Linked DNA regions of Solanum lycopersicum. The protein of the gene in region 4 binds, or shares a complex with, the protein of the main gene of each other region. Links are inferred from orthologs where the notes say so. Each region holds a gene or a part of one and is shown on either strand. Other genes may lie near its edges. The genes, in order: mediator of RNA polymerase II transcription subunit 13, mediator of RNA polymerase II transcription subunit 21, probable mediator of RNA polymerase II transcription subunit 26b, mediator of RNA polymerase II transcription subunit 31, mediator of RNA polymerase II transcription subunit 9, MED18 and mediator of RNA polymerase II transcription subunit 30.

Region 1 (4,055 bases), on a different chromosome or scaffold from region 4:
AAACATATACATTGTTCATCCTACCAAAGAAGCAAAAAATATGAACACATACATTCAGTCGTCTACAGCCTCAAGTTGGCCCTTAAAAATCTGATTATGACCATTCTACACACTTCATATTATATAATGCCGAAACATACTCCAAAGGTTTTCATTGCCTTGTTAATCTTCTTACCTGCCAGCTTTCAAAAGTACTCATTTATTTTGCATAACACATTGTACACCAAATATATTCAAGAGCAAGCACCAGATCTACCAGTAGCTTTTTTCCAAAAAGTATTAAAGAATTTTAATGGGTTTCACACGCTTTGACCCACAAAAAGCATCTGCTACATATTTATGTTCTTTTTGTAGTTGTCACGGTCTAGACGTGCCTCATGTGTTGTGATCGTGCAAAACAAGCTACTTTTTGGGAGCCTTGCTATCCCATAGGATTTCCAGGGCTTCTGCGTACTCCCTTCAGAAGGATTGTTCAGCAGATCCTATTCAGAGCTCACTGTGAACTTCCCTTCTAACCATTCTTCCAGAACACTGAATCTACTGCTGAAGTTGAGCCTTCAATATATTCCAGTTCCTTATAAACTCTGACCTTTCCACATCATAACCTTCATCAAAGCTTCTTCTAAAACTTATATACCAGCACTGACAACTCCATCAACCAACCATGTACATGTCATGGAAACTGACTATTGAGGGTCATGTCATAGCCATCCATAGTTCCAAAATCTAATATTTCTTCTGTCCCAACTTCCAATCTTACCAAATAATAGGACTCCTCCCATATAGCTCCTGATGTACTTATTTACAACTATAGAAGTGTCTAATATCGTAAGATTTGGCGCACCATTTTCCCCAGCTAACTACACTTTTGGTTTTACAGTTTCTCTTCAACAATTCTTCCTACTGATCAACATTGAACCTTGACAACCTAATACTTTTGTTTGATTTATTTATATATCCACTAACTGATATGATTTTGCTGGGAAAGAAGAAAACCAAAACTCGATAACCATTTAACAATAAGGCTCTTATATTACTATTTATTAGTCAGTCCATACAGTAAGTTTTTTTCTTTACATAGAGTCCAAATGAGTGGCAGGAGCCATTATAAAGTTCCAATAGCGATTCAGAGCAAAAAAATGGCGCCAGGCACCAATAGGCAGCATAACATGATCACGTATCTAACATACAAGAAAGAAACAATAAAAAAAATTATGCATTAACAGGTAGATCAATAAATACTTAGGTGTGCATGGTCCGTGTATATATAGTCAAATTTCCCACAGAAGAGAGTTGAGAGTTTCCTGCAGAACTTGAGAGACAATGGTGAAGACATCATATTCTAGGGATCCTGTCTTTTTTGGCCGTCAGTCAAAGAAACTTGAAAAATCTTTTAAGTGATATTAGAGAATAGGACAAGTTCTGGAACTCAGAATGGAAGGATTTTACTGGAGGAGAAACTCAGAAACAAAAGGGTGATAATGAAATTCATGGACGCTGTAAGTTTTTCAATAAATCAGCTGAAAGCAAACGAGTGTGTGATGGTAAAGATAGTAGAGACTGCAATATGAAGTTCTTTTTTATCGTCTAGCAATTGCTAACTGAAGAAGAAACTGTGTACATTTAGTGAGGTCGGGAGAAGTGTTAGAGAAAGAAGAGGTCAGGGAGGCAACTGAGGGCTTCTTTGTTCTCTCTCTTTTCTTTTTTCCTTTTTCTTTTAATTTTGGGAGAGGTAGTTCATTCTACCCAAAGAAAAATAACAGTCTAGTAGGAAAGGAAATAAGAAAATGCATGTTAAGTTAGCTATGTGAATTCCATAAAAATGGGTTATAAGATTAACACAATTTCATTACTAGGGTTTCCAAACTTGTAAAATTTATCAAGCAAAATGGTAAACCATAAAAACCTTCAACTTAACCCTCACAAAAATTGTAATATCACAACAACGGCAGGTATAATGAAGCATAGAACAATACGAAGGCAAGAAACATACGATCTTGAACACATTTGTCCACATCACTAGATAATTTTGACGCCTGATGAAGTAAGCACGTGCACTTCTCTGCAATATGGATCTTAAAGTAAACGACCTATATCAGAGGCACCAAGCATTTCCTTGCACAACAAAGGAGCTGCACTTCCTTCTAACAAAACATAAAACAATAGATTATTGTTCGTAAGCCAAAGTTGAAGGAACTCAATAAATATCAACCAAAAAAAAGTAATCTTTAATCTTTCTAGAACAAGTGCAAAGCAAACAACTATTCATATGTTAATCGAGGGTTCCTTTTAGCTAATGTTAGAGCAATCAAACACACACAATTGAAACATCAACCCCAAATATTTCCAGTATCCATTGTAAGTAACACGAAATTCCATTAATCAAACAAAAGGGGCAACACCAAAATACAAAATTACCACTTTGCATTATAGTAAGACTAGTTCAACCCTAAAAAAAGGTGTTCATAATTACAAATCCCCAAAAGTCGAAAGAACCAAAAAGCCCCAAAATTCAGTTCAAAAACGAACACATGTATATACATCGAAAGCACTTCTTTTAAGTAAATTCGATCACAACAGAACCGAAAAGCAGGGAGTAGAACAGAGAGATGCATACATAGAATCAGATCTGATGAAGGCGATGTAAAATGTTAAACTGTGAGAATTGAGAAGCAGCGTAGTAAGCAAAAATAGCAGAATGAACGCCCAAAATACTCCGGCGGCTGCTTATACCCCCTTAATATACAAAGTAGAATGTAGATAATTACTATCAATGGAAATTTTATAATTTGTTTAATTCACTTTAATTTGAATAAATTCATGTTTTAATATCAACTTTGTAAGATTGTCTTTAATTCTTTGAGATATCTCGATAGACACTTTTCGATTGAACGAATTAGATTATCAAATGGTTAAAGTTGAAAAAATATATATTATTATAAGTTTAAATGCCTTCTAAGATAATAATTACTACAATATTAATGGTTTAGATCTATTTTTGTAATCGAAAGTAAATACGAGATATTGTACAAATAAAGTAGAATAAGTTATATAATATTGTAATAAATCAACTAAAAGAATTGAGAAATTAGGTACATAATAGAGTTATGGGAGAATTTCGCCGATGTAATTTTTGAAAGACAGTAAAATAATGAGCTTTCTTTGAAAATCACAAGTAGGGTTTGAGATTTGCGAGAAAGAGACCTATTGTCTTTCGTATTAGAGAGAGTAACACCCACAATTTCATTTCGCATTTTCATTATTTACCTCAGGCCTCATTTAGTTGCAACTAATGGAGGTCTGAATCTTAATCATTCCGATTCAACTCATTAAGTGCGTTTGATTTTTATGTTTGAATTTGAATCATTTAGATTCAGCCATTAAGTTCATTTATTTTTTATAAAAAAACACTCTTAATGAATATGAAGAGGTCTCAACAAATCAAATATTGTAACAACCTGTTTAGTCAGTTCGAGCAGTAGAACTATTTTTGATAAAAACTGACTGGGTCGACGGATCACGCGACGGACCATCATGGTCGCGACGGACCGTGATGGACTCCGTCGTCCCATACTTGTGTAATTCCTTCTGTTGCTCTCCTCATTACTCTTGACGACAGGTAGGATGAGCCGTCATAGGCACGACGGTCCGTCAAGGGCCTTCGTTCCAAAACACTTCAACTCTGAAATCTGGGTACTGGGATCAACTCTCTGAACTTTGTGACAGACATGCAGGACGGACCGTCGTAGATACGACGGACCGTCACAAGCTTCACTACTGAATTTAACTCTCTGAACTTTGTGACGGACCTGCAGCACGGACCGTCGTAGACACGACGGACCGTCACAAGCGGCGTAACCCCGACTGGTCGGATTTCTGCTAAAAGTTTTAAAGGGGTGTTTTGGACTATTCATGATTATAATTATGGAATTAGTGGGGTAAGTTTAATAATTTATTTACTTGGGGGTTTAAAGAAGTTAATAAGGGAATAAATAGTGGGTTACTTTTATCATCTTTTATAATTGATTATATGACAATTAGGGTAAAAGAAAAAG
Region 2 (4,075 bases), on a different chromosome or scaffold from region 4:
TCTAAAGTTGGTTTCTTTTTAGGTTCTGAATAATAACAAATATTCTGAAAATCAATTTCTGGGTACTGATTATCAGACCATTTCGGCTCTTTCATTTTAACAAATTTCTCATACGATTTCAATCTATACTCAAGCATCCATTCAGGCTCATTCTTTCTTGATGAAATTAACCTAATAGTATCCTCCGAAAGCCCTTTTGGCAGCGCAAAAGATTCAATATTTTCATTAAAACCCCATTTATAGTCTCTTTTCAAGAATTTCTGAAGTGGGTCGCCTTCATTTGAGATTGATAAAGATGATTCTTTACCTGGAACTTCAACAGTGGCCTTCGCATCAGCAGCTTTAATCTTGAAATTACCTGGATTTGAGATTTTGGGGCCGGGTGAATTAGGCAAAAAGTTATACCCTTTTGGGAGTTTAGGCTGCTCAGCGATGGATTGAGGACAGAAGTGTGAGATTCCGTTGGTGAGAAGAGAAGCCATAGTTGATGCTTAGAAGATAGAAAGAAGCAGGATGAGAAGGCAAACATAAATTTTATTTGTTTCTTTTTTAATTTTTTGTGGTGTCTGATCTAAGATGTCGTATGCTGACCACGTGCATCTTTTCAAAGCCTAAATTACAACAACAAAAAAAAAACAATTAAAAAAAATAGTAAAGCTAAATTATTTTTGTTGCATTTTATGTCATTTAAGCGCTCACTTGATAATGATAAAGTCAGACTTTATGTTGAAAGGTTTAAAATAAAAACAAGTAAATGTGAAGAGTTATGACTGGTGTTTGTGCATGTTACTTTACAAATTAGGACTGGTGTTTGTGCATTATCTATAAGAACGGTGAAACTCAGAAAGTGACGAAATTTACTCAGAAATTCAATGGCGTTCATAAGAGAAATTTGTAAAATCCTGGGGAAAATCGTATAAGAGAGAAAATCGTCTAAGAAAAAAAAAGGGAAATCGTATTATGTTTTAGAGAAGTAAAATGAATGAAAATGAGAAAAAAATTAATAATTAAGATTTATGAGTCTACATGGAGATGATGTTTTTTGGTGCTCATGTGGCATCCATATGGTGTCCACGTGGCGTTCAGGTGACACTTAACACACCTTTGTTAAAATTAAGGGTAAAAATAACTCAATACTTTAATAGAAGGGCTAGAATTTAATTTAAAGATATATGTGAGCTAATTCGGATAATTCAGAAATATTTTTGAGCATTTTTCGTAAAATTTAATTGAAATAATGGTTAATTTTAGGTCTAATTTTAAAACAATTGTAACAGATTATCGAATCTACTTCGGCTCTACCCGGACCTCCAATTCTAGGGTTTTCAGGTAAGTTCTTCTCCTCTGTTTTCTATTCCTTTGTTCGATCTTTTCTCAAAATTCACCATTTTTGTTAGCAATAAAGGGAAGGATTTGGAAGATGGATATCATATCACAGTTACAGGAACAAGTAAATACAATTGCAGCTCTTGCTTTCAACACCTTTGGTACTCTTCAGAGGGACGCCCCTCCTGTGCGTCTATCACCTAATTATCCAGAACCTCCACCTGCTAATCCCACAGAAGACTCAGCTAATGTTGCAGAACAACCAAAGCAAATGAGTGCTGCTTTTGTTAAGGCTGCCAAGCAGGTGAAACTCCATACTCCATACCTTCACTTTTTCTGCTTATTCATCAACGAATATGAACAAGCCACAGACCAGGGTATAAAAGTAATCTGCGTGTACTTCGAGAATAGGGAATTTTCTCTTTTTTCGGAAGATCAAGATAAACTATTTAGTTTAGTTTCCTTTTTTGTGTAGACATTTTTTTTGTAAATGAGCCTGAATAAGTGATTGAACTTGTAGAATCCCTTTAAGAATAGGAAGGTATATCTTTGTGTTCCCTGTAAATGTTGTTGATTGCACCTTCTTGGTGCTGTATTACAAATGCACTTACCATTCCTTCAAAAAATCATTTTTGGACAAAATAATGTTTCTTTTGTCTTCTTTTGACTAGTATGTTTACTTTTGGAAACGTCAAATCTTTAGATATATGATGTGTTTGTGCAGTTCTATACAAGATAACACTAAGTTGTATCTTGGCTCATCATATCTAATGCGTACATGCAGTTCTATACCAGATGATATTAAGTCTTTGTTTGTTCAGACTTGAGACCTGCGTGGTTGAGTTCAAAGACCTTAGTCCTGATTCCTGAGACCAGTGTGGTTGAGTTCAAATACCTAGTCTTTTGTCCTTAGTTTAACGAGAAATACAATAATGCTATTAGCATCACCAACTACTTCAATAAAACTTGACTGAATCACATAATGGCGGACAAATTCCAACTACTAGCTGGACAGGATTGCATGCCTCTAGGGATTTTTACTAGAGAACTTGATGTCAGCCTCTCAGGTTTGGTAACCATGACATCTAGGCCAAGACTCACCGGGTAAACCTGGTGTCAAAACCGGAAAACTGAGTTCTAGTTTATCGCCCTTTAGCTGTCTTCTATGAAATGTATATGGACAACCCTGTGATTAGTTCTAAGGTGTTCAAGTTTACAGTTATGTTTCCCTTGTTTTCTTCTTGGCCTCACAATCAGAGGTTGTCTAATCTAGCATCCTATCAAACTTAAGCAGCACAGCCGACACTTGAGAGTAGCCTTGAGGATTGTGTGGCTCTAATTCAGACCAATTGCAAATTTTCATTGTGATCCTAAAGTGTATGCTTTGCTACAATGTCATTGTATTAAATCTATCTTCTCTTTTTCTTATCCTTCTTTGAGCAGTTCGATGTGTTGGTTGCTGCTCTTCCTTTATCGGATGGGAGTGAAGAAGCCCAATTGAAAAGAATTGCAGAACTCCAGGTATATGCTTCTTTGTGAATAATTGGTGGAATTCACTTTTTGACATCCTCTAATTCTGATGTGTTATAGCTTAACAGTATTTAAACTAAAAAAATAAAGAAGGATAAATAAAGATTAGTCTGTCTATTTTGGGCTTAGTAGTCTTACTCGGTTGTGTATGTATGTGATGTAGGCTGAGAACGATGCAGTTGGCCAAGAACTTCAAAAACAACTGGAAGCTGCAGGTAAGAGTTTGTTTTTCCCTTGCTTTCTTTCTGAAAGATAGTGGAAGCTGTTCTGATTAGGCTAAGGTCCAAATTTCCGTTTTCCTGTCTGTATTATTAATTTTTTGTTTATTCTGAGACTCAGTTTGCTGATTTTGGTGATTTAGAGAAGGAGCTAAAGCAGGTCCAGGAGTTGTTTAACCAAGCAACAGATAACTGCCTGAACTTGAAGAAGCCAGAATGAATAAGGTAGTAGATATTTCAGTTTGCTTGAGGAGCCCATTCTTGCTGGAATATACCCTGGAGGAACAACAAATTGATTGTGTCCATGTCTGTTATGGGTACATTTATTAACTAATTATAATTAGGCATGCTCTGACATTATTTTTTTTTTAAGTTCTTGGCCACTGCTGAAGAAAAGAATTCAGTATACTATTGTATCTGGTTTAGAGCTGTGTTTATAGAATGAAAAGAGGTAGGGATAATGTGCCTAAATAGCAAAAATCAGCAGTTTTTTTGTCTCCACATCCTTAAATATTAGTGTCTTCTGTGCCACGTGTTCAATTTAGAAGTTGGCTAGTTTCTCTGCTCCAGCACTTGTCAAAAGTTATGCAATTATCAGACTGACTTCGTAAACATGTGATCCCAAAACATGGCAGCTGGCATGCACAACTACCCTACCGAGTTGATGATTTTAATTCGTAGACACATTTTGGGCTGTGTCTGGGTACTTTGGGAGTTTAGATTGCATATCGCCAGAATATTTTCTTGTCGTGCTGGAACTGAGGCGTGGCCGAAAACAAGTAGCAACCACACAAAATATATAGAAAACCTTGTCTGCCTAATATGTAAGCGTGACAGCAACGAAGAGAAGAATTTACAGCCATCGGGGTTTGTTGAATGCTAAAATTTAGATAGAACGTGGGTCCAACTATGACTGGTAGAAGGACTCAACCACGTCATATGACAATTGGCATCAATACATGAATGAAGAAACTAACGCAGGAGACGTATTGAAGACTACA
Region 3 (4,127 bases), on a different chromosome or scaffold from region 4:
AAAATCCAACATAACAATGAGGACCGAGATCATATAAACGTTACCTCGTTATTGATAAATGCATTGGAAAAATAAATAAAAAATTAAAATTTTGTTTTGTTTTGGATCAAACAAAAAAATTCTGTTTTTTTAATGAAGTTTAATTCCTTCGTATATTTATTTAGTATTATAAATTAAATTCTTTCGAAATAGAAAGAAAATCTACTATACAACACTAGCAATAGAAATTACAAACTTCAACAAATAAAAAAAATTATATGGTACTTTTATTTACAAAATACAATGCAAAAATAAGTAATTTGTATGTTTATTAGGATTTTAAGGATAATAACATCTTTATTGAAACTCTTTTTCTAATTTTAAGTTAATCAAAGAACGAACAAGTCCTAAATAAATAATTATAATAATTTCACATAACAATAACTTGTTCATTAAAATATAAAAAGAAATATAAATTTATATATAACATATTATGATTTATAAACTACAAAAAAGGAAACAACATGAAAAAATCTAATATAACAAAGGGTGGTATAAGACTAAAACAGGAGAATTAATTTTTTAGTCCACTTGCTATTTTTAAAAAGGCAAAGATAAATTGGAGAAAATTTAAGTTAAACTTTATATAAATAAAAAATTTACCTTTTTTATTTGAAGTAAAAAAATAAAACTCCAAATGAATAATAGTATCAAATAACAATAGTTTGTCATTGAAATTTGAATTTAATATAATATTATGATATTTTTTATAAACAGACAGTATTATGATAAAAAAATTTAATGTAAATATGACATTTTATACGAATCAAACGTAATAAGACTTTTTCTTAAAAATTAAAATAAACAATGTGAATATATATTTATCCGTATTAATTAAGCATCTTATTATTTTAACAACTTATATTTCTTTTTATATAAAAATAAATCAATTAAAACATACTTTAAATATTTTTTTATTTTTTATTTTCTTACTTTTAATATATAAAAAATAACATTTTTTTCTTATTTTACCATCGATATTAATTGCTTACTCCTTGCTCATTTTTCAATATCCAAGACTATACATCATTCATCAATTAATATATTCACAACAAAATTATTATTATTATTACGAAATATATTAAAAATAGATAAATAAAAATAAATGAAGAGGATATATTATTTTGTAATTCCATAAAAAAAAACATATATAAAAAAAGAAAACTACTTCAAAGCAAAGAGATAAATCACTTCCTTAACTTGAAAATAAAAATCATTTCCTTTCAGATTTTTCTTTTATTGTTTTTCTATATTATGTCACTATATTTATTTATTTCTTATCATCCTTCTTTGAACTGAACACAGTTAAAAATAGTTTTTCTATGTCAAAGAGATATGAATAAAATCTATATCCATATCATTTCTTTAAACTTTACTTATGAACCTATATCAAATATGTTATTCTCATCGTTATCGTTGTCATCATCAAAGTTATCCTTATGAATTTCATCCATAAAAGAAGTTTTCAAAATCCAATTTCCATTCTATATACATATCAGAATTCGATTAGTTCAAATTTCACACTTATTCATACTTAAAATATATATTTTATATACTGACAATCTCTCGAGTTAAAAATGAAGGAATCAGAACCATCTCACCACGATCCATGCTAATGACCGAAGAAAATTGATCCTTATCACCTACCCCTAACCCCTACCCCCCACCCCCAACAGAGAAAAAACAATATTTTTTCTTCCTCTCTCTCGTGTCTCTTTGAACCAGCACCTTGTATTGCTTTTTTTTTTACAGAGAGAGAAATATAATTAAAATAATAAAAGATAGCTAGAGAGAGAAAATCTTCTATACTTTTTTTTTAACATATATTCTTTTTCTCTGGAAAAATTTCTTTCAATCGGAATAATTTTTTCTAGATTTCTCTTCTTATATCTCACCAAAAACTTAATCGGATTTTTATTTAATTTTTTTAATTTTGTTTTGTCATTTTGGGTTTATAGAGTTTCTATCATATGGATTTTTCCTAAAAAAAAAGCATAAAAATCTGTATCCGATTGCATTTTGCAGAACTGAATCGCCGGTGACACTGATTATTCAGTTTCCGATCATCGGAAAAAGTACCTAATCGGAAAACCAGAGGTTTTTATTGCTAAAAACCTTGTTTCCGATTAGAATTTGTATGATTTTCTTGTGGGTATAATTAAAATCGGATAAAGATTGAATTTGTATATTTGGGTATTGATAAATAATTGATTTTACGATCTGGGTTGATTTGTTTTTGCTCTGAATCATCAGTTATGGCGAAGAGTAGTGGGACTTTGGATAAATGGAGGGACTATTTTCGTACTGCAAATTCGGATATATTTGATATAATTGAGTATGCAGTGATGGTTGCTGCTGTTGATTGTCCAAAGGAATTTAAAATGAGAAGGGATAGAATTGCTGAAATGTTGTTTACATGTAAAGTTACTATGTGTTTTGGTTGTGAGAAAGTTGATTTAGCTGTACCAATTGCTGGTAATGATGATGAAGGAAAAATTAAGAGTAAGGATGAGTTTGGTGGTAGTAAAGAGAGCAAAGTTAACAGTAGGATAGATCATCATGATGTTGAGATGAATGTGAATCAAGTTAGCAATTATAGTTATGGAGAAGCTGAGGCATTAACTGAGGAAATGGAGGAAGAGACTCAGACTTTTGGGGAGGTGATGAGGATCAAAGATGTCATTGATAACAACCAAGCTGAGGTTCATTTCATCTCTATTGAATTTTGGTTATACTGTTGATTTGAAGTATTTTGCTGTGTTTGGATTTGTTCAGTCAAGAATTGGTGGACTCTGTGTATGTGAATTTGAAGTTTGTGTACTTTTGGGGTTGATCAAGAAGAAAATCTTGATAATTGAGCTTAAATGTTGTTAAATTTTTGGAGTTTCTGGTGTTGTATGACATATAACAATGGTTACTTTTATGGTTGAATTTAATGATTTGAAATTTCTGTTCTTGTGGGGTTGATCAGGAAGAAGAATCTTGATAATTGAGCTAATGTTGTAAGATTTTAGAACTTTTGTGGTTGAATTTGATGGTGATTCTATTTTCTCTACTAGTGTCTATAACTGGAAAATCTGATATGAGGTTGTTTTCATGTCACAGTTAGGAAACCTTTATGCTTTTCATTTCCTTTTTGCCCCCTTTTTGTTCCTTTGATCTAGTTGTACAAGGATGTTGCTTTCTTTAGCTTTAAAACAATGTATGAAGCTACTTTTAAACTCTTTATATCTTTTGCTATTTCACTTGCTTGGTAGTTTTGAGCTTTCCTCTAGTAATCGGGTTTTGAGTTATTGTTCTTTTTGACAGTCTGCAGAGTTGTTTGAGTGCTTAAGAAGGCTTCAACTAATGGCTTTGTCTGTGGAGACTTTAAAGGTTTGATCTTTTGACGCTTCCAAAATTTCATCTTCCATTTATTGTGGTTACTGTTTTTTAAATTTATTCTGGATGGACATAATTGATTGCTTCTATATCAGGCCACAGAGATTGGAAAGTCGGTTAATTCTCTCAGAAAGCACAACTCAAAGGATGTTCGGCATCTATCTCGGACATTGATTGAGTAAGTAACTCTTGCTTTATTGCTGAAATAACTGTAAGAATGTCGTCAAAATATGTATGCACAACACAGTTCTAGTAGTCTGATCCGGGGTATCTTTAATGTGGCTGAATTTGTTTTATCGCAAAGGTTTGAACTTTTGTCTTCGAGTTGAACTAACATGTCGTATTGGTGGCTCTGGCAGCTTGCTTTGTCGGTTGTAGTTTTGAAGCTATTATTACTTTTTAACGCTTGCAACTGTTTGTCGCTTACCGTTTATCTTTACCGTAAAATTAAGATTTCATCATAACTCAATCATCAATGCATACTAATGATGGTGATTGCTTCATTTATCGAGTGCTGAATTTGTTTTTATCGCAAAGGTTTGATCTTTTGTCTTTGAGTTGAACTAACATGTCTTTTTGGCGGCTCTGGCAGCTTGCTTTGTCGGTTGTAGTTTTGAGCTATTATTACTTCTTAACGCTTGCCACTGTTTGTCGCTTACCGTTTTTCTTTAATTGATGTTATCTTTAATGAAGATTCCATCATAACT
Region 4 (4,205 bases):
CCTTCCCTAGAGAAGCATGGAGCTCGCTTTGTGAAAAGGGCATCTCCTTGTTTTACTCTCTTTGGTTGAGGGCAAAGGATGTTCTAATTCAAATAAGTCATTAGCTGACATAAATTTCAACTCTGTGGATGATGTTTTAGGTTCTGGGGATTGAGAATTTTTTTCTTTGCTAGCTTGCTCAGATGCTTGCATTTTGGGCAGCAAATGGAAAAGACAAATAAAATAGACAGTTTGTTGGAGATGGTCTGAATTATGTATGGTTGTGGTTTGGTCACTCTTAAGCTCCCCTCTCCTAAACCTCCTTATCCCCAACTTCAAATCCTAATAGCTACATGCAATAAGACCAATGGTGTTTAATTTTATTAAAGGACTATTTATTACTCCATGTTAGGGTAGATACAAAATGCTTTGGTATAGACAGAGATGAAGATTTTGTAGTGTATGGTAAAGCGTCTTGTTAATAGGAAAAAGCATGGACATACCAATTGAAGTAGTCCAAATTGGTAATTGTATAAAGGGTAAACAAATCTAAAATTTGGTTGGAAACATTGGTCATCGAAATATGATTTCGTAGTTGTAGGTCCAAAACCCCCAATTTCCATGCTCATTTTAGGCATGGTATTATGCACCTCTCTTTCATGACACATATATTCAGTTGTGGCCCGTAGACATGTTTCTTTGAGAAATAACCGAAACAGAGTCAACTTGAATTCAAGCTTATAAATATCAAAAGTGATATAAGATTTTTATTCCAAACCAAAATCATGAAGGTTGCATCCAAAATCGCCCTTTTTTTTTTAACCCCTTGGACTAAAATCACAATTTTCACATTTATATAACTACGAATTTAAGCTTAAAAATTCATGCATACTAATAAAAAACTGGTCAAAACTTAGATATAAAGCGCGCAAGCGAGACTCAAAAACGTGTTGAGGGCTTCGCGTCGCTTTATGTGCACTTTAGTGTCTTCACCAATGTTCTAAGGCAAACGTCACCTTACCAATGAGCCTCTTATGAGACAGTGAAGTTAAATCACTGATATTTCACTTTGTCATAATTATTTTCAATTTCTTTGATCATATATTTGACATATTCATGTTTATAGTTATTAGTTTTGGACTAAACATGCATACTTATACTCTTTTCCTCCCTTTGCGTCTTTTTTCATCAAAGCTTACATTTTATTTGCGCTTAAATTCCCCATGGATCGTAAGAGCTTTTTTGCGCTTTTCATCTTTAGTAACACTGGTATAATCACATATGAGAATTATGACTTCACTTAAAAAAAAGATTTCTAACCATTTCAATCTGATCGACTGTATAATCTAGGTGAGTAAATGAATCTAATGACACACTCATATTGAGCAAATAAAAATTAGGATCAAAATCAAATACAAGATGTCATTTTAACACTGAAATTTTATTTCAATATGAATTTAATCCATTTTTACATTACATCTTAAAAATGCAATGAATTTCAGACTTTCCTTTTGTATATATAGCGCAGCAATACAATCAACGGCTAACTTTGAAAAGTAGAATTAGTTAGGGTTTAGCGCATGGCTTCTACATCGAATCCAGAAACCCATGAATCACCGTAAGCAGAATCAATTCATCTCAAATCAATTTGCATCTTCGCAAATTCACATTAATCAACTGTTTTTTCTGTTCCAATTTGCAGGCAGAAAAGCGTCTATAAAGATCCCGATGATGGGCGCCAACGTTTCTTACTCGAACTCGAATTTGTTCAATGCCTTGCTAACCCAACTTACATTCACTGTATCTATCTATCTATTCCCTTCTCTTATTTAAACATGATGTTTTCTGGGTATTTACCAATTATTGTTAGTTTTATGTTATATATGTTGTTGGTGTGAAAATGAATATTGGGTTGCAAAAGCTTCAATTTTTCTATCCCTTTTTCATTTTTTGTTTTGTTTTGTGGACTTTGTATTGATTCTGATGCAGATTTGGCTCAGAACAGATATTTTGAAGATGAAGCTTTTATTGGGTACTTGAAGTACCTTCAGTACTGGCAACGACCTGAGTACATAAAGTTTATAATGTAAGTTAGTTTATAGTATTAATATGTGATAATAGTTATGTATGTTCTTTCTACTGCAACTTTTTAGATGCAGTGGATGATGGTCCTTGTTCCTTTTCTGTTTCCTGTGGACTATGGATATCGTTAACTAATCGTATTGGTTTTCCTTTCTTGATGTTAATGCAGGTATCCACACTGCCTATTCTTTCTCGAGCTTCTCCAAAATCCAACATTTCGTAATGCAATGGCTCATCCTGCTAACAAGGTAAAAAGTTATGTCATGTGTTGTCCTGGTTTCCTTCTCCACTTTTGCTATACTCTTTAGTTAGTTAAGACTGTCAGCCACTATAAAGAAGGTTCACCCCACTTTCTGTAAACACAGTTTCTATGGACTAAAAATGCTGCCAAAACACTTTATAATACATGGTACTTCATTGTCTTAGCCATTAGCCTTATTTCCATTTCTGAACTTTCCCGTAGTTTCTAGGCATAAAACTTATAATTATTTAATCGTGTTGTCGAGGTTAATTCTCGCCCCGAGGACATCTCATCTCATTTCACTGTTTATTATTTATTGCACTTTGTTTGCCAACCTAAAGTTCTGGCACATAAATCTGTGATAGGATCTGATCTACATGTTTGTAACAACTATTAGGAAGTAGCACATAGGCAGCAATTTTACTTCTGGAAGAACTACAGAAATAACCGGTTGAAACATATTTTGCCGCGGCCGCTTCCTGAGCCTGCAACTGCACCAAGTTCTGCTCCACCTGCATCACTACCATCAAGTGTAGCCCCTCCAACTGCTCCACCTCCTGCTCCTACACCTGTTACAGCTGCAGCTCTTTCCCCGATGCAGTATGCCATCCCTCCTGGATCTGGTCTTGCTAAAACGGACCCAAGGAATGCTTCTGTTGATCGAAGAAAGAGAAAGTATTTCCTCTCCTCTTTTACTTTTCTCTTACTGTGAAAACTTTGTCAATGCTTGTTGTTGCATGCTCCCTCTTGTTATGATTTTATATTTTAGGGTTAGATTTGTGACGTAATGTTTCTGAAATGGTTATTGACTTGGATAATTTTGTTTTAGCAGGAAAGACGGATAATTTTATTTTACTCATAGCACAGACCTCCTATCAACTAATTTATGAATTAAGGTAATACATTTTGCACCCCATGATTTCATTTTTCGAATAGGTGTTGCAGTTCCTCATTGGCAAACACATTAATGAAATCCTATTAAGAGTGTGATTTGTTGTTTATTGAATTTTAGAGTCCTTCCCAAGTCTCAAGCATGATCAATGACCTGTACTTTCTTTCTCATGTCAGAAAACATAGTGCTAAAGTTTTGCGAGAGATCAACTACACATTTGTTGGGTTCACTAGGATCAAATTTCTTTAAGAAATAAATGTAGAACTAATTTTATTCCCAAACCAAGTAACCAAAACAGAAAGGAAGCAGCCTGCCTTTGAACTCTTTTGGGATGCCCTCGTTTGTGGTTTCAATTGCTTAATTTTTTAGGCTTAGCTCAGACATCTGGTGATAGGTGACTGGAAGATTGCCAATGCACACTTATAGCAGTAATGGGTTATCAATGGAGTGAAGAATTCGAATCACCATATTGACATGTGAACTTCAGATTTTGATGATAAATGAAGGAGCAACTTCTCTAGTGTGGTCTAAGTATATGAACCTTTGCCTATAATCTATGGTAAATGGGAGGAGTATTTATGGTCTTTGATGCACTTCACTTGGGCAAGGTTACGGTCCCTCTCCTCGGCTAGCCTGTACGAATTCCTATAATCACCTTTGCCTTTGTAGTTATTCTTTCCCCTTCGACTGTTCCAATTCCGTGTCCTCAAAGTTGCAGGTACTGACTCTCAAGGGCCTACTGTCTTTCCAGAAAACTAACAAAAGAGGAACTTTATCCATTTGGCTTGAATTGGGTGGTGTGACACTTAAGAATCGGTACAACCTAGATCTATAGACCTGAAATTAAGTGCAGCACACAAAATTATATTAGCTGTATCACTTTCATTAACGGAATTCCAAGGATTTCATGTTATCACTCATCTCTTTTCTCGTTTTGGTCAAGTGAAGTGCTTCCCCATATATATTTATGAGTTTCAGTTTGAAACTATGCCGTGTGTCCTTTTCTCGACA
Region 5 (3,951 bases), on a different chromosome or scaffold from region 4:
TGCGAGTATGAGCTATAGTTCAGAGTTAATAATCTCCTCAACTGAGCCTTTGTACCTCGAAATAAGATCCCTGTAATTAAGCATGAAACATGACCATCAGATGAAGCAAATAATAATTATACAAATTTCAGTAGACAATATTAGAAACACACACACACACACATATATATATGTGTGTGTGTGTGTGTTTTATATATATATAATACAAACCTTCGCTGATTTAGCATTTGTTCGCACTCTGCCTTTTTGCGCTTTTGTCCCTCAACTGTCTGTCCAAAGAACACAGGACTGGTCAATTATCTTACCCATATTTAAGCATCAAAACATGCAACCAAATAAGAATTTGTGGAGCAACTTTGTTCAAGTCAACATCGTTTCAAACATATTGAACCCCACTTTTCAGTAAAATTCTTCACAACTATAAGTTGAACAAACAGGCCCAAATGGAAAAGCACAATTAAAAGCAATAACACTGCCAAAAGAAAAACAATCCAACTCTTCCAGAAAAGAATAATTTTGAAGTTCTGTTTTCATATTATTGCGCTTAACTCTTTGTTGGAGTCTCTCTCTTTTTTCTTTTTATTTTTTGAGTTGGGGGTGTGTTCAGAACAAGTTACAACAGAAATCAAAGGATATGTGTGAAAATGAAATACCATAGATCTTGAGCTAATAGACCCTGATATTGATGTCAACAGCTGCTGGCACTTCTCAAACTGATTTTTCAATTCAGTTACCTGGTGAGGAAAAATACACCCGGTTTAATGTAGAAGAAATGGAAAACTAACATATAATGCATCAATCAAGAAATGAACAAACCAATGCATCTGAGTGCTGATCTCGATTTCCATTTTCAATTGTATCAGCTAAATTCTCCACCAGCTGTAAGATGACAATAAAAGTTAGAACAAAAGGTCTCACTAGGAAAGAGAAATGTCTCGTTACTCTATTAAAATAGCAAGCTACAGATCATGGTTTTTGCCCAATACTTGTAAAAGATGGAAGTGAGAGGCAAGTGATTGGTGGTGCTGTTGTTGTTGTTGCTGCTGCTGCTGTTGTTGTTGTTGCTGCATTTGCTGCTGCTGTTGTTGTTGTTGCTGCATTTGCTGCTGCTGCATCTGTTGCTGCTGCTGCATTTGTTGCTGTTGCATCTGTTGTTGATACCGTTGTTGTTGTTGCTGCTGCTGCTGCTGTTGTTGCTGATAGAGCTGCGGTTGAATGAACTGTTGTTGTTGAAATTGCTGTTGCTGAAGAAATAAATTGTCTTGATTGGAGGGTGTCGAAGGATTACTGTGAGTTTGGATGTTGGGGATCATTGTCCAACTTCCTCCTCCAAAGTGGTCCATAACTAATGGCTGTTGAGCTGAAATCTGTTGGTACTTTGGTTCTAAAATGGATAAAATTAATGTCATCAGATGTAATCAAGTACTACACAAATAGCCAAAACTATCAAAGCATGAACTGGCCTAATGGACTGAGTAGCAAAGAGAAATAATTCCTAAGATTCTGAAATGTACAAACCACTTCAAAAATATATTTCCCATCATTCCTAAATGACATTTCATCCACATCTTATTACAAGAATAGTTCTTTTGTACCAAAGAGAACAAAGCCATCAAGTGAGACCCTCTAAAACTGAAGCCCATCCCTCGTAACAAACAGTAAACTCTTCTTTGAAATTTAACAAACAGTAAACTCTTATCTCCAAGTAAAAACTACCATGACATCTGTATAAATTTGGTGTTCACATTGTTAAATCAATAGGTACATCGGAAAAAATTACTGCTGCAACTATGTCTTTTTGATAAGGTTAAAAATTATCCTTGAATGGGCATCGGGTAGATGCCAGATTACAAAATATGCGACCGCTTAGCTCTAATTCGGAAGGGCATAAAAAAAATCTCAGCACTCATACAAGTATCCTAAACTAAAGCTAAGGAGCTAGCAATCCCAAGCAAACCAAAAGGGTAGATAGTTATTAGTATGCACTAAAAAAGTTTACAAAACCTAAAACTGTAAAATTAGATAGTTATTAAAGTGAGAAATGAATCAATCCCAACTGCACCTCTTACTCTTTATCTCTAATTTAGCTCAGTAATCAAGAAGTATGCCTCAATCCCGAATTAGTTTGGGTTTACTATATGAATTCTCTCCATTAGAACCCCATCTATTCCAATATTCAATAATTTAGGTTTTCATAACCCTAGAGGTTCCCTATTACTAACATACAAATATCTCTCTATCTATGAAATTAACAGTTTTAGGTCAAAATCACAACCTCAAAATTTCCAACAAAAAAGAACTCTAAATCTTCTGAACAGAATCTTCGTTTGCTATAACACTGACAACCAAACCCTTGATTTAAGCCGCCACAAGAGAATGAATTCACAACTATACGAAGCTAAACTTTACTGAAACCACAACTAGTACAGTTAATAACAAAGCAGAAGTACGATGAGAATTACAAAACGAGAAAGATTACCGGAGATGAAAAGGCCCGATCCGGTTAAACCCCAACGGAAAATCCTCTGTTTTTTCAAATAGCAAAATTGAAATTACTCCCGCTGTCCCAATTTGTGGGGAGGTTTCGATTTCAAGAGCAAACAAGCTAATTTAGAAATTTTAACATTTTCTATAGTATAAAATTTAGTATGTATTAAAAAAAAATAGATAATTTTTAATAATTAAAATACTAATTCAAAATACATAAAACTCACTTTTCATTAACCGATTTGATTTATATATGAACTAATATTTTAACAAACTGAAATAGATTGAACTAATAAAAAAGTAGATCACTAGTGCATTCAAATTTGAATGAATTGTATTTAAATTAAGAGGAAACAACACAAAACACACATTTACATTTGTGTTATTTATCGGTTGAAACTATACTTTCTAATTATATTTTCTCTTAGAACTTTACAAAATAGATACATATGAGTCAAAATTAGATATAATTTATTCTATACACTTGATATCTAAGCATGTTTCACATGTATTCAAAAGTCATTATAAAGAGATTGATAAATAAGTACAGTCAAATAGAAAAACTTGCATATGATGTTCATTGATTGGAAAGTTTTTTAGACAGAGTCTTGAAGGAGGTTTTTTGGAGATGTTTGGAAATTGGAGGTATGTAGAAGTCTGATATCAAAACGGACACTTTTTAAACCCTAAACACTAAAAGGGACCCTCTATAAAACACACACCAAATTTTTTTGGAGGTCCCTTTGGGTGTTTAGGGTTCATAAAATGTATGTATTAATGCCAGACTCTATGACGTATATTTAGAAGATCAAGGACATGTATGAAGGAGTCAAGACCTAGAAGAAAAAAAAGCACTTTTCCACTATGAAGAGGTTGCACCAGACATCAACTTTTAGATCAAAATCATTTATCTTGATGATGAATGAATTAACGCGATATATCCAAGAAAGTGTATGATGAGTATGTTACTCGCCAAATAGTGGCGGAGCCAGAAATTTCGCCGAGGTTGTTCAAACTTTAAAAGAGTCGATAATTTTTTTAGCGAAGTGGGTACACAAAATTTATTTTTGCAAATGTGTGAGAAATTAAATTACACATCACTTAGTAACTAAATCTTGCGGAAATTTAAAATGATAAAACTATCGATGGAATAAATCAAAACTAATGGACAAAAGTCACAAAATAATTTTTGCTTGAAATATACTCCCTCTAGTTCATATGAAATAAATTGTCGAGTGTTTTTTGTAATTTAAATAACTGAATAGTTCAAATATCGAATAATGTATGATGAGCTTGAGTCGAGTCACAAAAAGGGCTATGATGAGCCTTTTGAGAGTGACTTTCACGATTATGATGAGTTTTTTTCTCCTATTTTCAAATTCTTAACTATTTTACTTTTTCTAAATAGAAAGATACTTTAGAAATACTCAAAAGTATAATAATAAATAATAATCTTTAATTTTT
Region 6 (3,984 bases), on a different chromosome or scaffold from region 4:
GTTTGCTTTTTTTCCTTGTCTAACCAAGAGGAGAAATCAGTCTTCAACATACTTTATGAATTGTGATGATGATATGACAAATGCGTAGACAACCACAAGGGGTCAACATATATTTGTGGGAGCCAAGGTTAATTAATCAACCGTCTTCCATATTTAAGGTATAATAATACCTTGACTATTATAATAAAAAGAAATACACTTAGCCAAGAAGGTTATAGTAGTTAGATGTAATCGAGATATACACCAGTGATTTGGAAGGTGATTAGCTGAAGGTGCTCTGAATTTAAGGTTTTCTATTTCCTTAGATATTACTACAAGCGAGAGGAATAATCAATGTTGAGTGTAATAGAGAGAGGCACTTATAACTTAGAGATCAATATTGATTGGTGGACAGTGAACACCATACACTAATCATAAGTGAAGTCTAGATTCAACTCCTTCTGATTAGAACAAAAAAGTCTATATTCAACTCGTTTAATGAACTGATGGATACTCTTTCACCATCATTCATGTCATAGAACTCTTATTTATATTTCATTTTAGTCAAAAACATTCCGCCTGCTTATCTGATTACTCGAATAGTAATTGAGCAACACTAATTAGGATAGCAGAAACTCAATCCTTGTGGGATCAACATCTGCCATACTATCTTTAACAGGAAACAAGCATTGTTTTAATACTCCGACGTTACCCTCATCAACATGTCAAAGAATCACATGTACATCATCGCAGAGAATCACATCTGTATCATCGACAAAACCATGATAGGCAACACTTTGTTGAAAACAAGGCACTCAACAGTCAACAAGTGAATGAGCAAAAACCATGTGGTCTCGACCTATAAATTAGATGTACTGAAAGTGAATCATACTTGAACCTAATTCCATTCAATAATTGACATGCAGCACCACAGTACAACTAGAATAAGATGGACCATAAAAAAATTATCAGCTATGTACAAACTCAAAGGTGAGAAAACCTCCCTACGAATGCATAGATGGTTGTGAGCATTTGCCTCAGCCACATCAGTACATACATGACCATTGGGTTAGTTCCTAGTTCCATAATAGTTCAAAGAGAAAATACACTTACCTAGGTTAGGGACACTTTTAAGGCACAGTTCATGAATCCTTAAGCTTTGTTTATGTACACCACAAAGCCCTTGAAGCAGAATTTCCAGGGCCTCGACATGCTGCAAGTATGATTAGCACTGTCAAGATCTTTTCAATAATCAATTGCCAAAAACTGTTTCAGTAAATGCCGTAGTATACCTTTTACAAGTAGCATACCTTCTAAAAGATTGAATAAGAAAAAAACGAGAAATAGGGGGAGGTTTTATCATTACTCCAGGAACTTACTTGAGTCTCAATAATTCCCTGAACCACACACTCCATTCGCACTTCAATTTATTCAAACCTACATGCAAAGAACTCTTTAGAACATACCTATGAACCAAAAAGATATTAAGTTTAACAGAAGAGTAACAACGAAAAAGCTAACACCTAACCAAAATCATAACAAAGTTGACACTCTTTGTATGAGAAGTGCATTGCTTGAAGATTAATGGATCTTAATATGAATTTAGTTTTGGATTGAGGCTTAAAGTTTTTGCCCGGATTGCCCCTATTTTGGGGTGGTCTTCAATTATTGCCTTTTCCATCCATAATTAGAAATTTAAGCATTTGGTCATTACTTGTCTTTTGGTACACCCAAATTCTCACCAAGATTTTAAGCATGAAACTTCTAATGATCCAATATGCACCAAAAACTGTCAAACTTGCTCCTTTCATTAGGCTATGACCAAACAACCTTAAGTTTTACTAAGTTTCTTCAAAGAAATAGGTAGTAGTGCTGGAATGGTATCAAGTTTTATCAATGAAGTCACTCCACCATGGGTGATTCTTTTCATGTGGAAAATTAGTCACTTGGACACATAGCTTAACTCCTGTTTGGCAAATATTTTCTACATACGTACAACAACATATATACATTCTATCCTCCCCATAGTCCACTTGTGGGATTTCACAAGGTATGTTGTTGTCATTGTTATATGATGGAGCATGTGCTCAGCAAAAACAACGAATGACTACAAAAATGGAGGAAAGAAAGAGAAAATGGAAAAGGAGAAGAATGGGTGAAGAAAAGACAATACCTTGGACTATATGGTATATGTTGCCTTTGGTTTTTTTCGACTATTTTGGCATCAAAATATGATTTTTCTAGTGCCTGTACAATTTGATCTTTGTTTAACATATCTTTATTGTTATACATCTGTTTTTTCAAAGTTTCTACATCAAACTCCAAATTTTATCATCTATACACACTATTGTATGACATATAAAACACAATCATTTAGCATTGTAGAACTAAACATAAAACATCAGAGCAAAAAATTGAAAGAATTACCTTGAACAGTTGAAGCAATCTCACTTTTTCCCCCAATCTGAGCTGCAAAAATTCAATTAAAAAAAATAGTTCGAAAGCTTAAACAGGCAGACCTAAATTAATCACATAACAAAAAATCAACGATAACAACGAGCCAAAGAAAAAAAAATTCTAGCTAGAAATCTAGGTTTCTATATCAAACAAGGTCCAATTGTAACAAAAAATCCAGTTTTCTACATCAAACAAGGTCCAATTGTAACAAAAAAATCTAGGTTTCTACATCAAACAAGGTCCAATTAATCACATAACAAAAAATCAACAGTAAAAACGAGCCAAAGAGAGATTTTTTCTAGCAAGAAAAATATGTTTCTACGATCAATTGTAAAATTAAGGTTTAGTAATGCAAGCTATGGCTGAGAGAAACCAAAACAATTAGCAGTAACAGAGATAATATGGTGATTTAGTGCTCAATGAAGTGGTCGAAAATATCAAAAAAGTCGAAACTCAAGACATAGGGTTGGAATAATACCTATTGCGAAAAGTGACAAGTATCTCGTAGAATCAATTGAAAATATTAGCGGATTCTTTTCATACGAGTGGATAAATGTCTGTTACGAAAATTTGATTAGTATCTTATATAATTAATTAAAAAATATTAATGGATTCTTTCTATAGGAATGGATAAAATAATTTGATACCTTATACGAAAAATTGATTATTACGAAATTCTTTGATAAAATGATTTTGATACCTTTTACGAAAATTGATAACACGAAATTCTTTCTATATGAATGGATAAAATAATTTGATACTTTTTACGAAAATTAATTATTGCAAAATTCTTTCTATATAAATGAATAAAATGATTTGATTCCTTTTACGAAAAATGATTATTATAGAAAGTGACGAGTATCTCGTAGAATTATTAGAGAAAAGTGGTACTTAGCAGAAGAGAAAATGGTTTGAAAATTTTGGACCCGAATTCGAGTTTAGGCCCATAATTAATTAAGCGACTCAAAGTATAATTTGATAAAATTGTAAGAACCCGATTGAATCTAAACTCAAAATTCAGGGACCAATATTGCAATTTTACATTCCACCTCTTCCAGAAAAAACCCTAAAACCTCGATAACGAAGAAGAAGAAGAAATAATGGGATCGAAAAAATGTCAAGTATGTGATGAAGCACAGTCGAGATACAAGTGTCCCAATTGCTTCATCCCCTTGTAATTATATTTCCATCTTTTTTCATTCTTTGAAATTTATTTGAATTTTAATTCTGGGTTTTGAGTTTGTTTTTAGTTTAAACTGAAGGGGAATGGATATAGATTATTCATACAAAATTCAGAGTAAAAATTTTTATATGTAGAAAAACATCATAATTGTAGCAAATAGAGATATGAATTTGTTGATAAGAAACTTAGGTTTCGTTTGGTAACTAGTTAGAATTATGCAGTTATTTTTTATGTCCGGCATAAAATAATATATAAATTTCTTCGTAGCTTATATATGTATTAGTCATGTAGCTTTCTAAATTGCGGACTTTTATACATTGAAATCATTGCAAAGAACCTTAGGTGTCGTTTGGGAGCCGGTTAGA
Region 7 (4,022 bases), on a different chromosome or scaffold from region 4:
CTCCTACCGTCATACTTTGGAGACATTGGTACCCCTGTCCCTTCGTTAGAGTGAAGGGCATATATGCTCTAATTTATGAACGACAGAGACATCAATGTCCCAAAATAATGACTGAAGGTATCTGCATATCATTTACGGTAGTTCGAGAATATATTTGTCATTTTTTCCTTTTTATAAAATAAATTTATTTGAATTTTAAAATCTGAAAAGTGTCTTATAAAATGAAATAGAAAGAATATTATATATATATAATATTTTAATTTCTATTATTAAAATGCACAATAAGACTAATTATCGATTCGAATGGTGTTGTCTTTTTTTAATTAGGTATTAATGGCACGTTGAATAAAAAAAAAGGAATCTTTGATTTGTTTCTTTCAAAATCTCAAATGGAAGTTTTTAAACATTTCTTCTTTCGCTTTTTAATTTTAATTGGAATCACACTTTTTTTAGTTTGCATCTATTTGCGATACATAGACTCTCTCTCATTCACTTTACGTCTTTTTCACTCGTCTTTTTTTCTATAAGTTTATATTTTAAAGTGTATATAGTAGTATATTACATGCATCTAGGTCTATATGACTTGACATCTAGTATGAAATTACTAATTAGAAGACGATGCGTAACTTTTCAAAATTATGAAAAAAAAACTACGTAGTAAATATGATAGGAATGTTTATGTAATCTGGTAATTTTTCTGCAACGTTAAACACAGATATTTGTGCACTTCTTTCCCCCATTGAATTTCGGGGAACTTATATACACGTACTATAATTAAAAAAATATTTACCATTTATAGCAATAATAAAAAAAAATTACTTAATCAGTTTTAATTTATTTATAATACAAGTTTTATACATATTATAAATAACAATTTAATATTACATATAATACAAATTTTAACGATGGATAATACGTTTTTCACACATTTTAATACATTTATAATAGAATGTGTCAAATTTAGTAAACAAACTTAATATATTTCAAAAAACAACTTATAATTCACGTACATTGCATACATAATTCACTTTTAATTCATATTGCAGATTTTACATAATATTGCTATAAATGACAATAAATAAAAAGTATCGCTAAAATCAGTAATTATTTATTAAAATGTATTAATTTATATAATTTTTCCTTGAATTTTGACCCAAGTAACTTGATTTTGGGCTTGATCCAGTAATACATAGCTCCTTACCCGGCCCAAAAAGTACACGCCACGCATAAAACGACGTCATTTTATGCTTAAATTAATTCTCCTTACAACTTCTCGCACCGCCGATCGCCACCACTACCGCCGCCGTCGATCTAGGGTTTTGACAAGCCGGTGACATTACCCGGTATGGAGGATAAAGGCACAATTACAAGCCCTAAAACCATACAAGAACTAGCAGTAGAAGGGCAAAAGCATTTAGAAGATACAATAGAAGCAGCACATCAAATTCTCTCCGCCATGAACGATGAACTCTGTAATCCATCACTTTGGTCCACTCTAAATACAGCTGCTGCTTCTTCTGCGGTGGCGGTGGCCGGTGGAGGAGTTGGTGCTAGTGGTGTTTTGAGTAATGGACAGCAGCACCATACAAACGGCGACATTTCGTCTGATACTTCTTCGTCTTCTTCTGCTTCAGCTCAGCATTTGGATATTGGTGGTGGTGCTCTTGATGAATCTCGTCTGCGTTATAAGTCCTCTATTGCTTCCTTGCGTTCTGTTCTTACTGCAATTTCTAATTCCCAAAAGGTAATTTTACGTATAAAAATGCAATTTTTTAAAACATTTTTGTAATTGTGTGATATCTGTAATTTAAGATAGTGATCTCAGGAAAAGTTAGTTTGATGTAATCATGAATCAACAATGGCTTGATCATAAACTAGTTCGGTTCAGCTATATGAATGAATCACTTCTAGTGAAGTCCATTAAACAGAAAATGTGTAAAAGACTGGGGCTTTGTTCAATGCCAAAGGTAGTTCAACGTGACCGCAAAGATTTGGATCCAACGTAGATAACCTCTAGTTTTAGAGGTTCCAAAGGTTAAAACTATTTGATACTGGAGTGAAGTGGTTCCATATGGATATGGAGGATTCGTATACTTCCACCACCAACCAGCTTGTGTTGAGCCATAGGTGGTGTTGGTGTTCTGTTAGATGGTAGTTTTGATTGGGAATGAAACTCAAATAGATATTCTAGAAATGTAGTTCCTTCGGAGTACTGTAGGAGAGAAAAACATTATCCAGTTTGAGCAGAAAAAAAAAGACATTATCTAGCGATAAAGGTAAATTCAGTGTGAAAAGTGTTTGGTGATTGATCTTAATCACAAAACAAGGGGTTAAACAGTTTTGGTGATTGATATGGGAAAGACATCATGTGGTTATATACTAGCACAATTTGCCCTTACCAATATGAGCAACATTTGCACATGGCAATTGTATATTTTGATGTTCTAGACATGGGGATAATATTTCTTCACTATGAATATAATATTCAGTCGTTTGATCATCCCTCGTCATCAGTTGATGAAGCTCAACTGTGCTGCTTACTCTTTTTCTGATTTGTCTTATATTCTTCTGGGTTTGTGGGTGGCTGTTGGGGGCTGGGGATGGGGGAAGATATTTAACTATGTTTTCGAGGTTGTTCTTGTTTCTGCTGTTTAAACGCACATGAGGTATAAGTGTTTATACCAAGATAAACTACTGCGTGTTATCCTTTTCAAGAAAGAATTAGCACTATAATCACATCTCAAGTCCTTGGTGTTGGTGTATGGATTGCCTTAACATTTGTGCATTGGAGAGAATCTGGTTAAGCAGTAAGAATTTTGTTTGTCAGTATGAACAAATAAATCACTGATGTTGAGTGCATTTTTGTTGCTCAACATATGTCCGACTACACATTAAATGAGTTCTTTTAGTAACTTCTTTCTTAAGAGTTGTGCAAGTATTTGCTCCGTTTTAACTGGAAGTTGTCAAACTCTCCTTTCTGTTGTCTCAATTCTCATGATTAACAAGTTATATTTTCTTGTACATTTTGGAAAGTTGTTAACTTATTGTATGATACTTCACACTCATTACTGGCTTTGTTAGCTAGGCAAAAGCATTGGAAGCTGCTTCTGCTAGTGGTTCACTATCTGCAGCAGATCAAGCGGAAATTGAGCAGCTGGAAGACCGGGCCTCTTCATTAAAGAAGGTATTGATAACATATCAAATTTTGACATATTAGAATTTCCTTGGATTTTTGTTGGTTTTTGGGATGCATGATGGGTGGGTTTGGTGAAGCAAATGTGTGTGCCAATATTTGAACCTTGACTGATGTCTTCCTTGATCCATTGAGTAATTTCTTATCCATTAAAACAATATTGAGGTATACTACATGTTACATTTTCATTCCGGACACATGACAAAATGTCTTACTGTACAAACTTTCTCAAGTCTCGATATTTGTCACAACCTCAAATCAGAACAATATGATTTTGTGATAACATATGAAAACTTGGTTTCAACATCCTCTGCTTGTTGTACATACTGTATTATTATTAATTTTATTCCTATTGCGTTAAAATTAGTCAAATCCTGTTTCATTTGCTTTATGTCTCCCCCTAGTGGCAATAAGAAGTCCTCAAGTGAAGGTAGAGTTTTATCGTACTTGAGTGCATGCCTAATAGTTTTCTATTATCTTACGGTAGTGAAAAATCAAGTTGCTATTGTGATCAAGATTTAAAGCATATTCTATTGTTCTTACAAATTGCAGGAGCTTGTAGACAAGAACAAGCATCTCAAACTTCTGATTGACCAGCTTCGAGATCTTCTTGCTGACCTATGTACATGGCAGAGTCCCTGTTCTACATGACTCTGCTGCTATAACTTCAACCATACAATTAAATCGGTGAGGTGTTAGAGATGTCAAAAGAGCAACGTATTCAATCTTAAGAAACTGTTTTATTTTTTTTTCACTTCTTTTGTACAGAAGTTACTGCTAGATTCAAAAAATTGGTCATCGCCGGACACCTGCTATATGCTGCTCGCGG

Evidence for each region.
Region 1: mediator of RNA polymerase II transcription subunit 31 (region 4) and mediator of RNA polymerase II transcription subunit 13 share a complex: the UniProt entries of both Arabidopsis thaliana proteins name them as parts of the mediator complex. The link is inferred for Solanum lycopersicum from reciprocal best matches to the Arabidopsis thaliana genes MED31 and GCT.
Region 2: mediator of RNA polymerase II transcription subunit 31 (region 4) and mediator of RNA polymerase II transcription subunit 21 share a complex: the UniProt entries of both Arabidopsis thaliana proteins name them as parts of the mediator complex. The link is inferred for Solanum lycopersicum from reciprocal best matches to the Arabidopsis thaliana genes MED31 and MED21.
Region 3: mediator of RNA polymerase II transcription subunit 31 (region 4) and probable mediator of RNA polymerase II transcription subunit 26b share a complex: the UniProt entries of both Arabidopsis thaliana proteins name them as parts of the mediator complex. The link is inferred for Solanum lycopersicum from reciprocal best matches to the Arabidopsis thaliana genes MED31 and AT5G05140.
Region 5: mediator of RNA polymerase II transcription subunit 31 (region 4) and mediator of RNA polymerase II transcription subunit 9 share a complex: the UniProt entries of both Arabidopsis thaliana proteins name them as parts of the mediator complex. The link is inferred for Solanum lycopersicum from reciprocal best matches to the Arabidopsis thaliana genes MED31 and MED9.
Region 6: mediator of RNA polymerase II transcription subunit 31 (region 4) and MED18 share a complex: the UniProt entries of both Arabidopsis thaliana proteins name them as parts of the mediator complex. The link is inferred for Solanum lycopersicum from reciprocal best matches to the Arabidopsis thaliana genes MED31 and AT2G22370.
Region 7: mediator of RNA polymerase II transcription subunit 31 (region 4) and mediator of RNA polymerase II transcription subunit 30 share a complex: the UniProt entries of both Arabidopsis thaliana proteins name them as parts of the mediator complex. The link is inferred for Solanum lycopersicum from reciprocal best matches to the Arabidopsis thaliana genes MED31 and AT5G63480.

The regions. Positions count from the first base shown.
Region 1 is NC_090803.1:12,734,184-12,738,238, reverse strand, and holds the start of mediator of RNA polymerase II transcription subunit 13, read right to left. Parts: upstream 2,801-4,055; 5' UTR 2,618-2,800; intron 2,145-2,617; 5' UTR 2,018-2,144; coding exon 1,994-2,017; intron 1-1,993. UniProt on the Arabidopsis thaliana protein: Component of the Mediator complex, a coactivator involved in the regulated transcription of nearly all RNA polymerase II-dependent genes.
Region 2 is NC_090801.1:60,839,865-60,843,939, reverse strand, and holds mediator of RNA polymerase II transcription subunit 21, read left to right. Parts: upstream 1-1,420; coding exon 1,421-1,630; intron 1,631-2,769; coding exon 2,770-2,847; intron 2,848-3,019; coding exon 3,020-3,071; intron 3,072-3,195; coding exon of another isoform or gene 3,196-3,203; exon of another isoform or gene 3,204-3,217; coding exon 3,218-3,294; 3' UTR 3,295-3,575; downstream 3,576-4,075. Other genes in the region: iron-sulfur cluster assembly SufBD family protein ABCI8, chloroplastic, read right to left, coding at 1-482. UniProt on the Arabidopsis thaliana protein: Component of the Mediator complex, a coactivator involved in the regulated transcription of nearly all RNA polymerase II-dependent genes.
Region 3 is NC_090809.1:61,266,115-61,270,241, reverse strand, and holds the start of probable mediator of RNA polymerase II transcription subunit 26b, read left to right. Parts: upstream 1-1,327; 5' UTR 1,328-2,294; coding exon 2,295-2,741; intron 2,742-3,348; coding exon 3,349-3,414; intron 3,415-3,515; coding exon 3,516-3,598; intron 3,599-4,127. UniProt on the Arabidopsis thaliana protein: Component of the Mediator complex, a coactivator involved in the regulated transcription of nearly all RNA polymerase II-dependent genes.
Region 4 is NC_090802.1:52,519,641-52,523,845, reverse strand, and holds the start of mediator of RNA polymerase II transcription subunit 31, read left to right. Parts: upstream 1-1,405; 5' UTR 1,406-1,559; coding exon 1,560-1,597; intron 1,598-1,681; coding exon 1,682-1,779; intron 1,780-1,968; coding exon 1,969-2,065; intron 2,066-2,230; coding exon 2,231-2,309; intron 2,310-2,699; coding exon 2,700-2,977; intron 2,978-3,131; coding exon 3,132-3,147; 3' UTR 3,148-3,198; intron 3,199-3,370; exon of another isoform or gene 3,371-4,114; intron 4,115-4,205. UniProt on the Arabidopsis thaliana protein: Component of the Mediator complex, a coactivator involved in the regulated transcription of nearly all RNA polymerase II-dependent genes.
Region 5 is NC_090801.1:55,598,965-55,602,915, reverse strand, and holds the start of mediator of RNA polymerase II transcription subunit 9, read right to left. Parts: upstream 2,801-3,951; 5' UTR 2,480-2,800; intron 1,385-2,479; 5' UTR 1,344-1,384; coding exon 987-1,343; intron 880-986; coding exon 817-879; intron 735-816; coding exon 654-734; intron 270-653; coding exon 211-269; intron 71-210; coding exon 13-70; 3' UTR 1-12. UniProt on the Arabidopsis thaliana protein: Component of the Mediator complex, a coactivator involved in the regulated transcription of nearly all RNA polymerase II-dependent genes.
Region 6 is NC_090805.1:1,888,056-1,892,039, forward strand, and holds the start of MED18 (mediator of RNA polymerase II transcription subunit 18), read right to left. Parts: upstream 2,801-3,984; 5' UTR 2,407-2,800; intron 2,227-2,406; exon of another isoform or gene 2,153-2,226; intron 1,417-2,152; 5' UTR 1,395-1,416; coding exon 1,359-1,394; intron 1,193-1,358; coding exon 1,093-1,192; intron 1-1,092. Other genes in the region: ZNHIT (zinc finger HIT-type containing protein), read left to right, coding at 3,537-3,610. UniProt on the Arabidopsis thaliana protein: Component of the Mediator complex, a coactivator involved in the regulated transcription of nearly all RNA polymerase II-dependent genes.
Region 7 is NC_090807.1:2,029,146-2,033,167, reverse strand, and holds the start of mediator of RNA polymerase II transcription subunit 30, read left to right. Parts: upstream 1-1,222; 5' UTR 1,223-1,345; coding exon 1,346-1,744; intron 1,745-3,085; coding exon 3,086-3,184; intron 3,185-3,745; coding exon 3,746-3,844; 3' UTR 3,845-3,880; intron 3,881-3,961; 3' UTR 3,962-4,022. UniProt on the Arabidopsis thaliana protein: Component of the Mediator complex, a coactivator involved in the regulated transcription of nearly all RNA polymerase II-dependent genes.